5 linked regions of the Canis lupus familiaris genome follow. The protein of the gene in region 2 interacts with the protein of the main gene of each other region in a pairwise test. Links are inferred from orthologs where the notes say so. Each region holds a gene or a part of one and is shown on either strand. Other genes may lie near its edges.

What was found.
Region 1: the proteins of EFHC2 (region 2) and SPG21 interact in binary tests that used the Homo sapiens proteins (3 or more experiments, as listed by UniProt). The two-hybrid records come from large-scale screens. The link is inferred for Canis lupus familiaris from reciprocal best matches to the Homo sapiens genes EFHC2 and SPG21.
Region 3: the proteins of EFHC2 (region 2) and COPE interact in binary tests that used the Homo sapiens proteins (3 or more experiments, as listed by UniProt). The two-hybrid records come from large-scale screens. The link is inferred for Canis lupus familiaris from reciprocal best matches to the Homo sapiens genes EFHC2 and COPE.
Region 4: the proteins of EFHC2 (region 2) and PLOD3 interact in binary tests that used the Homo sapiens proteins (3 or more experiments, as listed by UniProt). The link is inferred for Canis lupus familiaris from reciprocal best matches to the Homo sapiens genes EFHC2 and PLOD3.
Region 5: the proteins of EFHC2 (region 2) and NCDN interact in binary tests that used the Homo sapiens proteins (3 or more experiments, as listed by UniProt). The two-hybrid records come from large-scale screens. The link is inferred for Canis lupus familiaris from reciprocal best matches to the Homo sapiens genes EFHC2 and NCDN.

The regions. Positions count from the first base shown.
Region 1 is NC_049251.1:29,781,763-29,783,987, reverse strand, and holds part of SPG21 (maspardin), read left to right. Parts: intron 1-1,644; coding exon 1,645-1,785; intron 1,786-2,225. UniProt on the Homo sapiens protein: May play a role as a negative regulatory factor in CD4-dependent T-cell activation.
Region 2 is NC_049260.1:38,421,547-38,425,069, forward strand, and holds part of EFHC2 (EF-hand domain-containing family member C2), read right to left. Parts: coding exon 3,370-3,523; intron 194-3,369; coding exon 63-193; intron 1-62. UniProt on the Homo sapiens protein: Microtubule inner protein (MIP) part of the dynein-decorated doublet microtubules (DMTs) in cilia axoneme, which is required for motile cilia beating.
Region 3 is NC_049241.1:44,618,521-44,622,008, reverse strand, and holds the end of COPE (coatomer subunit epsilon), read right to left. Parts: exon of another isoform or gene 3,140-3,488; intron 2,915-3,139; exon of another isoform or gene 2,385-2,914; intron 2,086-2,384; coding exon 2,017-2,085; intron 927-2,016; coding exon 852-926; intron 765-851; exon of another isoform or gene 717-764; coding exon 669-716; 3' UTR 504-668; downstream 1-503. UniProt on the Homo sapiens protein: The coatomer is a cytosolic protein complex that binds to dilysine motifs and reversibly associates with Golgi non-clathrin-coated vesicles, which further mediate biosynthetic protein transport from the ER, via the Golgi up to the trans Golgi network.
Region 4 is NC_049227.1:8,584,557-8,587,053, forward strand, and holds the end of PLOD3 (multifunctional procollagen lysine hydroxylase and glycosyltransferase LH3), read left to right. Parts: intron 1-36; coding exon 37-141; intron 142-662; coding exon 663-809; intron 810-1,087; coding exon 1,088-1,213; intron 1,214-1,545; coding exon 1,546-1,701; 3' UTR 1,702-1,984; downstream 1,985-2,497. UniProt on the Homo sapiens protein: Multifunctional enzyme that catalyzes a series of essential post-translational modifications on Lys residues in procollagen. Plays a redundant role in catalyzing the formation of hydroxylysine residues in -Xaa-Lys-Gly- sequences in collagens.
Region 5 is NC_049236.1:6,647,699-6,650,849, forward strand, and holds part of NCDN (neurochondrin), read right to left. Parts: coding exon 3,014-3,151; intron 2,236-3,013; coding exon 1,994-2,235; intron 1,412-1,993; coding exon 1,187-1,411; intron 836-1,186; coding exon 693-835; intron 1-692. UniProt on the Homo sapiens protein: Probably involved in signal transduction in the nervous system, via increasing cell surface localization of GRM5/mGluR5 and positively regulating its signaling. Required for the spatial learning process.

The sequences.
Region 1 (2,225 bases), on a different chromosome or scaffold from region 2:
GCGCTAAACCACTGAACCACCTGGCTGCCCCTGTCCATTCACCTGTTGATGAGCATTTGGGTTTTTCCACCTTTTGGCTCTTGTGAATCATGCTGCTCTGAATGTTGGTATACACATACCTGTTTGAGTACCTACTTTCACTTCTTTTGGGTCTATACCTAGAGGTGAAATTGCTGAGCCATATTGGTGATTCTGTGTTTAACTTTTTGAGAAACCGTCATATCATCTTCTACAGAGACTGTACCATTTTATATTCCCACAACAGTGCACAAGGTTTCAAGTCATCCCATATCCTCCCCAACACTTGTTATTTCCTGTTTTTGTTTTTGTTTTTGTTTTATAATGGCCATTCTGATGGATGCAAAGTGGTATTTCATTGTGGTTTTGGCTTTTTTTTTTAATCATATAATTATTTTGCCTCATAAGTGGATGTATTGCTAAAATCAAATAATATTTTTAAGAATTGATTTTTCAGGAAATTACAAGCATGTAAATTATAACTTCTAATTCTCCACTGTAATCTCTACATTCAAAATTTACTATGACACAGAACAAGCTTTTCGGTACTCTTGGTAAAATACTTGGTCCTCATGGTACATTTGCTCTGCTTGCCCATCTTTCAAAGCTGAGCTCACCACTTGGGTATGTGGTCACTGAAAACTGTATGTAAGCTTTAGCAAGTTGGAGATACTTTTTGAGTGTGTGTGCTTCATTTTAAATATTATTTTTTGAAAACTTGTTTGCATGTGTTTAAACATAAGTTTAGGGGCACCTGGGTGGCTCAGTTGGTTGAGTGTCTGCCTTTGGCTCAGGTCATGATCTCAGGGTCCTGGGATCCTGATCCCCCTCTCCCCCTGCTCATGCTATCTCTCTCTCTGTGTCTCTCAAATAAATAAAATCTTTAAGAACAAACAAACAAAAAACAGGTAAGTTTATGTGGGCATTAGAAGATGTCTAGAATCATATACTCCAAACAGCTAACAATGGCTCCCCCAGGAAAGGATCTGGACTTTTTCTTATACTCTTAAAAAAAATTTTTTTTTGGAATTTTTTTTCTGATCATATAGTACTTATGTAACTGTTTTTAAGTAATAATAAAATTTAAAAGGTTTTGGGGGGATCCCTGGGTGGCTCAGCGGTTTAGCACCTGCCTTCAGCCCAGGGTGTAATCCTGGAAACCCAGGATCGAGTCCCACATCGGGCTCCATGCATGGAGCCTGCTTCTCTCACTGCCTGTGTCTCTGCCTCTCTCTCTCTCTCTCTCTCTCTGTGTGTGTCTCATGAATAAATAAATAAAATCTTTAAATAAAATAAAAAGTTTGGGGGATTTCAGTGATCTTTTTGAAATGAATTGGCATTCACTATTGTTCTTTTAATTTAGTTAGTTAGCTATGTTTAAGGGGAAAAAATTCATGATAAGAATTTTCCCCCCAATGAATGCAAGAGGTGTTTGACAACAAAATCTGTAGCTTATGTTGGAGTTAGAAGTTACCAGAGATGAGCAAGTTACCCAGGCTGGCCAGGGGTTCAGCGGTATCTCTTCACTAGAAAGCCAGAAAGAGATGCTTTGGAAGGCACTTTCCACAATGTACAAAAAACCTACTAAAACACTGGTAGGTTACAGCTTTGTGTTTTTTTTAAAAGGTATTTGACCAGAGTGCACTTTCAACTGAAGCTAAAGAAGAAATGTATAAACTGTATCCTAATGCCCGGAGGGCTCATCTTAAAACAGGGGGCAACTTCCCATACCTGTGCAGAAGTGCGGAGGTGAATCTTTATGTGCAGGTAAGTCCCAGCTTGGGAGCCGGAACACTTTGAACCCAAAGTGTATGGTTTGAAACATAAAGCTTTTTTTTTTTTTTTTTTTTTTTTGGATGGTGGAATAAGAGACTACAGAATTCTCTGTAGCAATGAGTCATTCACTTGATAAAGGTGGTTTACATTAATAATTTATAGCAGAAGCCAAGCGGGTATATTAGAAACAGTTGAGTGACTCTGCCTACCATCTCTTTTCTAAGAACAGCAGGCCTGCATCCACACATACTGAAGTGGCCATGCCACATGATGTGACCTTGCCTCCTGGATACAGTGAATTCAATCAGAACAGGAACCTTCATTGAAGCAACTTCCTGATCCATTTTTAACACGTTAAAAAAAACACACGCAGGAGTGCCTGGCTGGCTCAGTCGGAAGAGCATGAGACTCTTGATCTCAGGGAGTTGTGA
Region 2 (3,523 bases):
TTCTTTGCTCTTTAGACAATCTTGAAGGGAAAACAGAGTATTGCTGGCAGCATCTGGCTTACCTGAATGTATTATAATCCACCATCTTTGTGTGCTTGCAGTCAGCGGCTGTAAATACCTGCTTGATCTCTCTGGATTTTGATTCTTCTTCTTTCAGCTTTTGTAAGATAAGTTCAATGCTGCTCATGGGAAACTAGAAGGGGGAAAGGAAAGGAAGGATATTAAAACATGCCTGAGACATAGGGAGCCCAATCTTTCTGATGGCCAGCAAAGAGACTTCACACTCTGAACCTGAGCACAGCTGGGCATGGCTGTCCATAGAGACCAACGCAGAGGAAATACCACTAGAATTAAATCTCTTCAGTTGCAGTTTAGGACAAAGAGCAACATCAGCATAGGCCCAGATCTGAGAAAAATGAGCTTAAGGGACAGTAAACTGCAGGAATCAGAAAACAATCCCTCAGCCTTCTCACCTGAACCCTTGGACTATGTTGGGAGACCCTAATGGAGAGGATGGGGATTCACAATTGGATAAGTGGACCCTCATTTTCTCCCGATCTCAAGAGTGGGCCCCCCTGGGGACTATTGGCCATCAGATGATGCACTGAACAGAGCACAGCTGGGTGTCAAGAGATCCATATGCACTGGAATCCCCGACCTTCACTCTCTGGCAGCCCCCAGTTCCTGTCTCCTACCATGTGATTAGGTTTTAGACTCTGTAAAAATACTGCTTACTCAATCCAGTAAAGTATAAGCTTGTAAATAATTACAGCTAAGAGCTTAAAGAGAGAGAGAGAGAGAGAGAGAGAGAGAGAGAGAGAGAGAGAGAGAAGATTACACATGAAAGATTAAAAACATTGATGTTAATTTAGTATAAAGGTCTCTCTTCCACCAGGGGGTTTGAGACCTATCACAGACCCCCATCCGCCCCACCGTTCCGCATTGCCTTTCATCTATTTCCGTGATTGGATCTATTAGCTCTTTTGCAAAGATATTAAAGAGTATATTAATCTTGGGGTCCCTGGGGGGCTCAATTGGTTGAGAGGCTGACTCTTGATTTCAGATCAGGTCATGATCTCAAGGTTGTGAGATCGAGCCCGACATCAGGCTCCGTGCTCAGTTTATGGCTTGGAGCCTGCTTAATATTCTCTATCTCACTCTACCTCTGTGCCTCTATCTCTTAAAAAAAAACAAAAAAAAAAGAGTGTATTAATCTTTTTCTGCTTAGAAAGCCCTTGTTAAGGGTAGTTTTAAAATAATGCAGTTTTCACTTGAGATGCTAATACCAGATAATGTCCTACCCTGCTTTTATCTTTCTGAAAGGAGAAAAGCCCTTCATATCAAATAGACACATATATATATACATATACACACACTATTTATATAAACTATACGAGAACATATATAGTATGTTAACATTTGCATGTATATACATAACACATATATACATATATAATACACACCTACAATACATATATACATATATAGTACGTATATGCATATACACACACACACACACACACGGATGTTAACACATAGGTTCACCCTGTGTTTGAAAATCGAGTCCTAATTCACAATAGCTATTGCAAATTGTACCCTAAGCTTGCTATGGGCCCCCCAGAGCTAAGTGCTTCACACACATTACTGCATCTCCTCTTCGTAGTTAATTCTCTGAAACGGGTCAGCTGTGTAGAGATGAGCAAAGTGGAGCTCAGGGAAAATATGGGTCTCAAGCCTCTCAGCCAGGAAGCGTGGAGCCACGTTTCCCAGCCGAGCCTGCTGGTCTCCAGCAATCTAACTGCCCTATTATTGAACCTCTTGACTGAATTCAGTGCTTTTGAAGGGCTACCAGTTCACGGTTTTACGACAAGCCCAAGTCCTAACCCTGCGAAAGGACAATCGGTGCAGCGGCGCTGGAAGGTGCTGTCTGGGCCTACTATCCAGAGAGGCTGCAGAGAAGAGCTGATGGCCCCCACCTGCCATACCTTCGGCCATACTCTGCCCAGGCTGTTCTCCTCCCAACGACAGTGCAACAGGGGCACCAGAGCTGAGCCATTCTAGCCTGACATGGCACTTCCGGCACTTCCGTGAGCAGCCTTTGCTCCCAGGCTCCACCTCCCCATCGGCCTGACTGACACTTTCTCAGAGCTGCACCGTGTCTTGAGGCCTTTCCTGCACCCACCTCTCCTTCCTTGTCCTGAGGCCTTTCCTGCACCCACCTCTCCTTCCTTCCCTCTCTTTTCTCAGGAGTCAGACCTACATCTCAGGCTCCCCACCTACTCTTGCTCCCTCCTCTTTGATCCTTCATATGCATTTCTCCCAGGACATCCCTTGTTTATTTAACTCAGCCTTGGTACCTGCTGCTCAGAGGACCCAGACAGGATGATATGATAAACACAGAGAGACTGATCTTAGCAACTTACCCTTGAGCATTTTATATAAAAATGAAACAGAACTGGTACTGTGTATAGATATAGATATATAGATATAGAAGTATAGATATAATTGGCACATAAATATTATTACTTAGAGGCAGACTTTTAAAATAAATCATTTCTAGGGATGCCTGGGTGGCTCAGCGGTTGATAGGGAGCCTGCTTCTCCCTCTGCCTATGTCTCTGCCTCGCTCTCTGTCTCTCTCATGAATAAATAAAATCTTTAAAAAAAATAATTGTTTCTAGGTGGATTTTTCACTATTAGGCAATATCTCTCAAATGTACATGTTTGCACACCAAACCGGTCCACACTTAAAAAACTCAAGATTTTATCGAAACATTAGTTTGACAGAACAGCAACACCATACTAGTGCTTTTAGGAACAGTACCCATCTGCCATATTGTTTCAAACAAAAAAAAATTCTCTGAGCTCACTGCTGCCAATTTGTCCTTGAACTCTTATTCGGGCCTCAGGTAGCTCCTGTTATGGAAAGCTGCAAGCCCAGCAATTCTCAGGTTCCCTTGGGGTTTCTGTTTGTTTAGCGCTTGGTCTTCCGTGTAGGCCTGTGCCAATTAACAGGGACAGCACAGTGTGTGGCACCAGATTTTCTTCCTTTCCTATAGCTGCTGAATTTCTTTATGAAAGCACTGTCAGCGTCAGCAAAAAAACCAGGAAACTTGATTCAACCCTGGGCTCTGCCTCCTGCCTGTGCCTGGCACCCCTGTGCTGCTGGGCAGTGCCCCGAGGACCCTGCGGGTAAACAGTAGACCGGGACCTGGGGCCAGATCCATTATTCGCGCAGATCCATTATTCATGGCCACATGTGTGAGTGCACAATGTAAAACTGGTGGCAGGATGAAGACAAAAAGGCCTGGAGAAAGAAAAACACAGACTGCAGGCACTAAGGGGCAAGTCGAGAATTACACAGCTCACCATGTCAGAATTCGTCTCCATATAGTTTAAGGTATACTCGTCGGCGTTGAGCAAAAGAAACAGGTAGCCATTCACGTTCACTGTGGCCCCAATATACAACTCCTCGGCCTTGATATATTCAGATAGTTCACTTTTAAAGACCTCTTGTCCAGGC
Region 3 (3,488 bases), on a different chromosome or scaffold from region 2:
CTTGGGTACCACCCTCTCTCCAGACAACAGATGCCAGCTACTGCCCTGGCTTTCTCTTATGGAAGGGCACTCACCATGGGTTCCTCTCTCCAGGTAGAGAGCTGAGTGCCTCGGCCACAACAACCAGGAGCAGGGGATGGTCGGATGGGGTGGGGTGGGGGTGCATGTGTTCCTTGCACACATGTGACTCAACTGAGAGGCCTGAGTACTTCCTACCTCCCTTGCCACCCCAGGATACTGGTTTTGAGTCCTGATGCTCCTCATGATGGCTGTCACTATCTCAGTTTCTCTGGATGTCAAGTGGACTTGGGAGACATAGCAGTGCCGCCGTAGCTCAGCATCATGGGGCAGCTGTTTCCGGGGTGGGGAGTCTGTGCAGCTCCTGTTCACAGGCCCTGGTCTCCAAGGCTTCCCTCCCAGGAAAAGCCCTGGGGGACAGTGCCTGGGACCCTCCCTTCTGAGTCGTGGTTCACACATGTCCCTCCCAGAGTGGCAGACATGGATCAGGTGGAGATATTTATTGACAGAAGGGGCCCTGGTCAGGCTGAGCCTCGAGCCTTCACCTCTAGCCAGAGCAACCAAGAGCACAAGAGGATGGGTGCCTGGCAGTGGGGGCAGCATGCCCAGCCTCGCTGTTCCCGGGCTTGGGAACCAGCCTGCAGCCGGCCTCAGGCGCTGGGAGCATACTGCAGCACCAGCCGGTCAAAGTCGTTCTCCTGCAATGTGGATTGGGGACAGTGGGAGCAGAAAGAGAAACAGAGAACGTGAGTCAAGACCTCAGTCACAGGCCTTCCCTGGCCCCGCCTATGGGGGGTCTGGGGATGTGGGACAGATCGCCAGCTCAGGCTCACCTTGGCCTGGTACTCCTTGATAAAGGGGTGGGACCTGTGTGCGTCCTTCAGCTGGGACAGGTAGCGGTTTGTCACCTGCAAGGGAAATGAGGCCAGAGGCCAGGTTAGTTGAATAGGGGGCACCCAGGTGGCTTGCACATGCAGAGCGAGAGGAGGGGTGAAGTGAGGGCTGCCCAGATGACCCTGGTCTCCCAAGCAAGGGCCCTGGTCTCCCATCACGTCCATCACCCCACTGTGAAATCAGGCTGATGACAGAGGACCCCCAGGGCTGGGGAGGGAAGAGGGGGCACCTGGCACAGAGCCCATGCTAGTGCACGGTTGGAGGATGCATCACCGGATTCAGGGGAGTAGGCTGGGAGGGACCTTAGGAGAGGACTAGGACTAGGAGGAGCAGAGGGCAGGTCAGGGGGAAGAGAGTTGGGAGGGGAGGTGAATTTGTTCTGGGCACACTATACAGAGAAACCCCAGAGATCTCAGTATTAGAACCTGGACCCCAGGAAGAGCCCTTGCTCCCAGCTCCCCTCACCTCCCCAGGCCCAGCTCAGACTCAGGGGGTGGGGCACCTGTCTCCCTGAGACTAGGGGTCCAGTGCTATTTCTGGGGTGAGTGGGACAGCTGTCCTGTCTATGCTGTTCTGCCCCAGCCCTGAAGCTGCCGGGGGGGGGGGGGGGGGCTTCTATAAGGGATGGGTGACCGACTGTCAGGAAGTCCTGGGGTCGGTCCTTGGCCAACTGTGCCAGTCAGTCACCTACAGAGAGCGGTGCCCCAGAGTTCTCCCTCCCTCCCCACCCTTAGACAACATGGGCTCACAGAGATTGCTCCCCTGGGCCCCTTTTCTCTCCACCAAGAGATGGCACAGATGGGGATCCCAGCTCAGCTGGCCCTCTGAGACACAGCTCATAGTTCATAGGGCCCATGGAGCAGCTGGCCTACAGCCTGGGCCAGGGTGGGGCCCTAGAGGATCACCTGCAACACCAACTTCCCAGGGCCCCTCGCGCCAATGCAACTGCACTCACCACCACCACCACCCCTGCCCCCAAAAGGAATGCGTTTCCGCTCAAGATGCTGAGCTTCATCTGGGGCTGGAGCCGTATCACAGACCCCTGCCCACCACACGCTGGCACCCTGAGGGCCAGAACACTTCCCCTGCACCAGGGGACCCTACCTCGGGTGGCTTGCCCAGGTGCTGTGACAGGACGATGAGGTTGATCAGTGTCTCTGGGTGGCCACTGTCCTGGAAACACAGGGAACACCAGGCGAGCAGGGTCAGCTCCCCTAGGCCCCCGACTTGGCCTGCCCATCCCCATCTCAGGTGGGAAAATGCCTCCCACTGACCCAAGGTGAAGACATGACCCATACAAGGTCATACCCTCAGAGGTGGAGCAGGTGGGGGCTGCAAGACCCAAAACGTGCCTACTGGCCATTCTGCGAGGTGGTGACCTCAGGACCCTCCTTTCTACCTAAGTGACGAGGGGGCCCCAGCCCAGCCCCAACCCCAACCCACCTTCTGACTACCTTTCTTTTCCCCAACAGCTGCTTCCCCTCTAAGCCCAGTGTCTCATCTGCGGACCAGGATGCAAAAGAGCCCCCTTGCTTGCTGTGATTTGGGAGGGGTGTATTTATTATACCAACCTCAAAGTAACAGAGCCCAACCCAAGATGGCCTGAATACCATCGCTGGCAAGCTGTCCCTCTTGCTGCAAAAATGAGGTCTGAGACCACAGGGCAGACCCCGCCTGCCCCTCCTGCTCTCCAGGGGCCTTGACAAGAAACTGCTGGGAAATTACCAGAACATCCAAGCGGATGACCTCACTCTACCCACCCACACAGGGCTCTGAAGCAGGGACACTGCAGGGAGCCCTAACTGGGCACCTGGAGCAGAGAACAGCAACCCAGACTCGTGGTGTTGCAGGTTCAAGGAGCTGTATGGACCCCAGCCTCCTGCCCAGACCCAGCTCCATGCCAGGGCTGCCCTTCTCTGGGGAAACTCAACTTCTCTCCACCTTAGTCTCCTCAGCTGTTGTCATAGGGCACAGTGGCATGTACTCACAGAAGCAAAACGAGGTGAACACAAAAAGGAATGGGAAGGACAGTGAAAAGCATGGGGTGGCACGCAGGCACCAGGATGAATGAGGCCACGGCATGCCTCAGGCTGCCGGGGGGGGGGGGGGGGGGCATGGCGTGGCAGGGACAGGGCCACAGGGCAGCAAGCCAGCCCAGGTGGTGTCTCAGAGAATGAGGACAGATGGGTGTTATTTAACTGGGGACCCCACTGCCCTCTCCTTCTAGGGCAGAGACACCCCACCAGGCCAGGCTTTCCTGACCAGCCCTGCAGGCATACAGCAGTCCAGTTGAGTCAGACCCTGTCAAGGAGGCATGGTGGCTGCCTGGCAGGGCAAGGCAGCTCCAAGTAAGCAGCCTGAGGAGCACCTGACTAATGGCCCTGGCCCGCCCCTGATCTGCAAACAAACTTCTGATGGTAACTCGACCCCTCACAGAGATACAGGGAGAAAGCTTCCTACTGGTGTCTGTTTCTCATTGTATCAAGAAATGTTTTCCAAAGATGGAAAGAAACTTTGACATGTCCTCTGATTATAAAAATAACACACAAGACCTCACATGTTGGTCCGGGGAAGAC
Region 4 (2,497 bases), on a different chromosome or scaffold from region 2:
ATCTCCCCGCCCTGTTCTTGCCCTGTCTGTCCTCAGCCGTGCCCAGATGTGTACTGGTTCCCCCTGCTGTCCGACCAGATGTGTGACGAACTGGTGGAGGAAATGGAGCACTATGGCCAGTGGTCAGGAGGCCGGCATGAGGTGAGAGGGGCTGGGGCAGGGAGGACTCCCCACCCCCTGGGGCAGGGAAGGTGCAGCTGTGATGAAGGGAAATGGAATCATGAGAGTCGGAGCAGGGTGGGGCCCCCAGAGTGCTGGGGACCCAGGGGGGGCACAACTGCATGCATGCATTCATTCAGAAACTCCTTACCAGGCAGGCAGGTCTGCGACACCCACCACTGAACTGGGCGCTCTGGTGTAGAGCACTTGCTTGAGCCCTGCCCTCCTGCACCTCACCTGCTATAGGCAATAGCAGGAGCCCTGCTCCTGAAGGTTGTGATGGGCAGCCCAGATGCTGTAGGAGTCACAGGAGGGGCCCTTGGCCTGGACGTGGGGGGTGACCAAGGGGCTTCCCAGAAGAGGTACCATCTTCAGGGTGAGTTAGAGGGAGTCAGGTAGAGTGGTCGAGGCTCCTAAATGCACGTCACACAAGCTTTCGGGCCTCAGAGCAGGGGGGAGCGGCTGGCATGGCCCTATTTGGGCTCAGTGCCCACTGCCCACAGGACTCAAGGCTGGCTGGAGGCTACGAGAATGTGCCCACTGTGGACATCCATATGAAGCAGGTGGGCTATGAAGACCAGTGGCTGCAGCTATTGAGGACGTACGTGGGCCCCATGACAGAGAGCCTGTTCCCAGGCTACCACACCAAGGTGAGCTGCCACCCCTGCCTCCTCCCACACCCCAGTTCTGGCTGGAAGTCTGCACATGGTGCTCCTTCAGCTCCTGTAGCATCTGGAGTCCTGAGGGAAGGGATACCACTGGATGGCAGCCCCCCGGGGAGTTCGCAGGATACCCCCAAGGGCCAAGATCCCTGCAGCCCTCCTCCCCTCCTCCCACTGGGTTGAGGCTTCACCTCCTCAGAAGCGCCCCCGCCCACCCTGTGACCTCACGGCCATCCCTCCCACCTCTTCTCTCGTGCCCCCCACAGACCCGGGCAGTGATGAACTTTGTGGTCCGTTACCGGCCAGATGAGCAGCCCTCTTTGCGGCCCCATCACGACTCATCCACCTTCACTCTCAACGTGGCCCTCAACCACAAGGGCCTGGATTATGAGGTGAGCCCCGAGTGCCCTCCCCCGTCAGGGCACCAGCAGGGCCTCTCCACACACGCACATACACACTTGAGCCCTGGGCCTCCTGACAACCCCTACACACCCTCAGGCACCTGTCCCTGGCCTGTCCTCTTCTTGGTTCCAGTTACTTCGCCTGCACCACCTCCCGGACCTCTTTCAGGCTGTGTGCCTTGCCACCACCCCCCCACCCCAGCCCACCCCAGTGCCTCTCTTGTATGCTGACACCCCAAGCCCCCCATCCAGCCTCTCACCCTCCTGTGCCCCCCGCCCCCCATCTACTGATTTGCCCACTTCCATTCCTCCGTTTCTTCCAGGGAGGTGGCTGTCGCTTCTTGCGCTATGACTGCATAGTCTCATCCCCACGGAAGGGCTGGGGGCTCCTGCACCCCGGCCGTCTCACCCACTACCACGAGGGGCTGCCCACTACTCGGGGCACTCGCTACATCATGGTGTCCTTTGTCGATCCCTGACACTCAACCACTCTGCCAAACCTTCGCTGCCGCTGTGCCTTCCTGCACCCCCCTCCTTGGAAGGGGGTCTGTCTGGCGCCTCCTTTCCTGAGCGGATGTTCAGTGTGCCTGGGACTGAATGTGTCGCCTCCCCACCCCAACACACGGCCCTCTCAGGAAGCTCCTGGAGCCCCCATGCCCCTCCCCATGGTCCCCAAAGGTTCCTGGGGAGAAGGCTTCTGGGGGCTCCCCATACAATAAATTATTGTTTCTCAGCCTCCCTCCCATAAAGGAGGATTTGTAACTCTTGAGTCTGTGTATGTCTTTCACCTCCCTACTGAGCCTGAATCCCTCCTGCCACCAGAGCGGAAGGAGTTACCCCACAGAAAAAGAACAGAGGGGAGAAGGCAGAAGCGGATGGTAGAGCAGTGTGGGAACCTGGAAGCTTCCCTGGGTCCCATTTCTGGAGGTAGGGGTAGCATGGGGAGCCTGAGAAGGGCCAGGCCCCAAGGACTTCACTTAGATTTAGGTGGAAGCCTACCCCCACTCTCCCGCCAGACCCAGCCTCTTCTCCCTGACTCTCTTGTCACTTGAGGGCATCTGTGGGATGTCAGAGCCCTGTGCGGGGCTCTGGGGCCAGTGCAAAGGGAAGGAAGGCCCCCTGGAAGCATGTGTTCTAAGGGGACACAGGAGGCTTCTAGGACTCCAGCTTTTGGTTAGGGAGGATCAGGAAAGCCCTAGAGAGTCATCCCAAGAAAGCTTCCTGGAAGAGGAGAATGTGAAGCAGCCTTGAAAAAGAGGCGAGACCTCCTGAGAG
Region 5 (3,151 bases), on a different chromosome or scaffold from region 2:
GCTGACCCTGGCCCACTGCCTCGCTCCCTTCCCGCTGCCAGGAGACTCTGCTGGGATCCCTGCGCGGGGAACAGAGAGGCAGCTGAGGGGACAGGCTCGTTACGCCCTGTTCCCAGGCATCTGCTCAGCTCCTCCAACCTGACAGATGGGGCACAGGGAACAGGCGGGGACAGAGGGACCCAAGCAGACACCCACGGCCGAAGTGGGAGACAGGGAGGGCTGGCAGGGGCTGGAGGGCCTGGCCCTCCCCCCGCACACAGTCGGGGTGAGGCAGGCTTGCGGAGAAGGTGCGTGCAGAGGAGCAGCAAAGTGCTGAAGCCTGTCACCAGGGAGGTGAGGTGCTGAGCAGAGAAAAACCTCAATGGGAGGAATAAGGTTTCTGACTCAAGGCCTGGGTGGGGGCGGCTCCACCTTGGGCTGCTGGGATTCCAGGTGCCTATGCCTGTGCCTCTGAGCAGGCCTGTACTTACACCCACCAGACCTTGCCTTAAAAGTCTTCAAGAAGGAAGAGAATGTCATCATTTGAGGAAGAAGGGTGGGGTAGAGTGGGGGACGGAGACACAGAGAGATTTCCTCTCCTTTGGAAAATTCTGTAAAAACATCCCCTGAAAACAGGGACTTCTGCCTGGAGGCCCACAGGTGCAGCCAGGTCTTTGGCCCCTACTCCTTAGGGCCGGGGCCCCAGGCCTTACCTGGAGAGGTGCTGAGGAGCCGGGCCATGAGCAGGCCCAGAGTGGCCACGTTGGCAGCCAGCAGGAGCCTGCCACTCTGCTGCACTAGTGCGGGCAGTGACGTCATCAGGGTGTTCATTAGAGACGTGAAGCAGGCATCTCGCCTGGGGAGACAGGGAGGGAAGGGGGACTGTTTGAGGGTTGTTCCTTACACCGAGGCCTGGGGGAACCTGGGGTCCTGGGCTCCCAGTTTCACCAGGCAGGATTAGAGACGAGGCAGCAGGGTTAGGAGCTAGCGGTGGGCCCTGGTGCCATCTGGGAGCGGAGCCTGGGTTACGGTGGGAGCTGCGGGGCTCCGGCCAGGCCCGGTCCTCGTGCGGGGCGCCTCTGCTCTGAGAGCCATCCATTCTAACACTAACGGGAACGCACGGGCGCAGGGAAGCAGCGTTGAGATGCAGATGTGAGACAGTCTGAGCAGCCCCCCTTGCTTCCTCCAACCTCCTCCCCGGCCTCACTTGATTAGCCCTGGTGCGGTGACCACAAGGTTGAGGAAGATGTGGCAGCAAGTCTGCAGGCCGATCTCCACGCTGTCGGGCAGCACTGAGGTATCATGGCCCGGGGATGTGAGTTCCCACTGCTGCAAGAAATACTTGCAGAGAAGTGAGGGGGCTCCCTCTTTGATCAGGATCTCCCGGGGCCCATCTTCGACAGTCAGGTGGCACCAGCCGGGCAGGAGGAGCCTGGGGGTGTGGAAGGAACACATGCGTAAGGGGTGCGGAGACAAAGGCACGAGGATTCCCTTTCTTGGGGGGCATCCCACCTGTGAGAAATGACAGCGGGGGTGAAGGACCCGGCCTCGTGGGCCCCACAGAGACAGCACACGCGGTGGTGCTTCAAGGGCCTGGGCTTGAACCTGGGCTCCGCCACGTGGCGTGCGCGTGGCCCACTTACTTTAACCCTGAGTCTTGGTTTGCTCATCCTGAAGGCGCGGATGAGCCTTAGGCCATAGATCTGCCGTGTGGACCAAATGGGATTTTTTTTTTTTTTTTGTCAACGGTAGAGCAGAATGCCTAGTGTGTAGTAAATGCTCGGAAAGCACGAGTTCTCTCTCTACGGACAACTCGGAGGTGGGCAGGGGAGACTCGGCTGACCAGGAGTCCTGCGTGAACAAGCCCCACCCAAGAAACCAGAAATAATCCTAGAGGAAATCTCGTGCCCCAGTTGGGAAGCCTGGCACGGACAATCTAGGGGTGAGGCGGTGTCCCCTTGTTGCACTTTTCTTTAGGACAGTCTGGCTGGACAGACTCTAACTACCAACTCACCGGAGAGCATCCCCTGGCCAGGTGGGCCCTGGGGCGGTGGGGGAGATGGCCAGGGTGGCCACCTGCTGGGAGAGGTCATTCGCCTCCTCGGCCTCCTCGTAGAGGGTCTTGGCATAGCGCACAAGGAAGGGCAGCAGCTGGCAGACCTCCTTGCGCAGGGATGAGGTCTCCTCGGCCAGCCAGGCCCCCAGGATCCGCACCGAAGCAAACACAAAGGGCTCCTTCTGCTTCTCTGGCCCCACCTGTTGCCATGGGACCCCCGTGAGATGGAGCAGGACCAGACCCCCTCCCCGGCCGGGACAGCATGCCAGCCAGCCTAGGAACACCACACCTAGAGGGGAATTCCAGCCCCTGAGCCCTTCGAAGGCCGGCCCTGCACACCCAGCACCTGGCACACAGTGAGCACACACCCGACAGGCGCCTGGCACGGAGCAGGCCCTCGGGGCACGCCGCTGAGCTAAGGGGGCTTCAGACAACATGTCCCCACACTTGCTGCGACTCCACTCGCATCCCCGTCCCCCCTGAAGTAGCTCAAGGCTGGAAGGTCCCTCATGGGTCCCCTGGCGGCCCTGACCTGGAGGAGTTAGCGGGACCTCCCCGGAGGCCAGGAAGCTGCAGGCCTGGCCCTGCAGCCCTGGCCCTGCTCCGGTGCCGGGGTGCGTGTGTTGCATGTGCAGGTGCCGCACTCGGGGCGGGAGGCGGAGCCAAGCAGGCTGCTTCCATCTCGTGTGCGTGTGTACCGGGGGGAGGGCTGTGAGTGGGAGCCACCGTGTTGTGTGTGTGCGTGTGTGTGTACTGTGATGCGAGTGCACATATGGTGTGTGGTATGGTGCTTGTGTGGAGGCTCAGGGAGGGAGGGAGAGAGAGGCTCGGCCACACTACTCCCGGGAGCGCTGCAGGATCGGCCCGAGTGGGCATCTGGGCCTGTCCCTGTCACACCGCATCCCTCTGCCTGGCCCTCTGCCCACCCCACCTCCGGCCCCCACCCCCAGGCTCCCTGTGTGGCCACTATGCCCTCACCTGCTGCAGGTGGTGGATGACAGCCCCGATGGCCTCCTTCATGATGCTCACGAGCTGTACCTTCTGGGGCTCCTTGAGCAGCGACTGCTCGCAGCGGGTGCACTCCTGAATCCCCAGCTCCATGAGGGCATAGCAGGC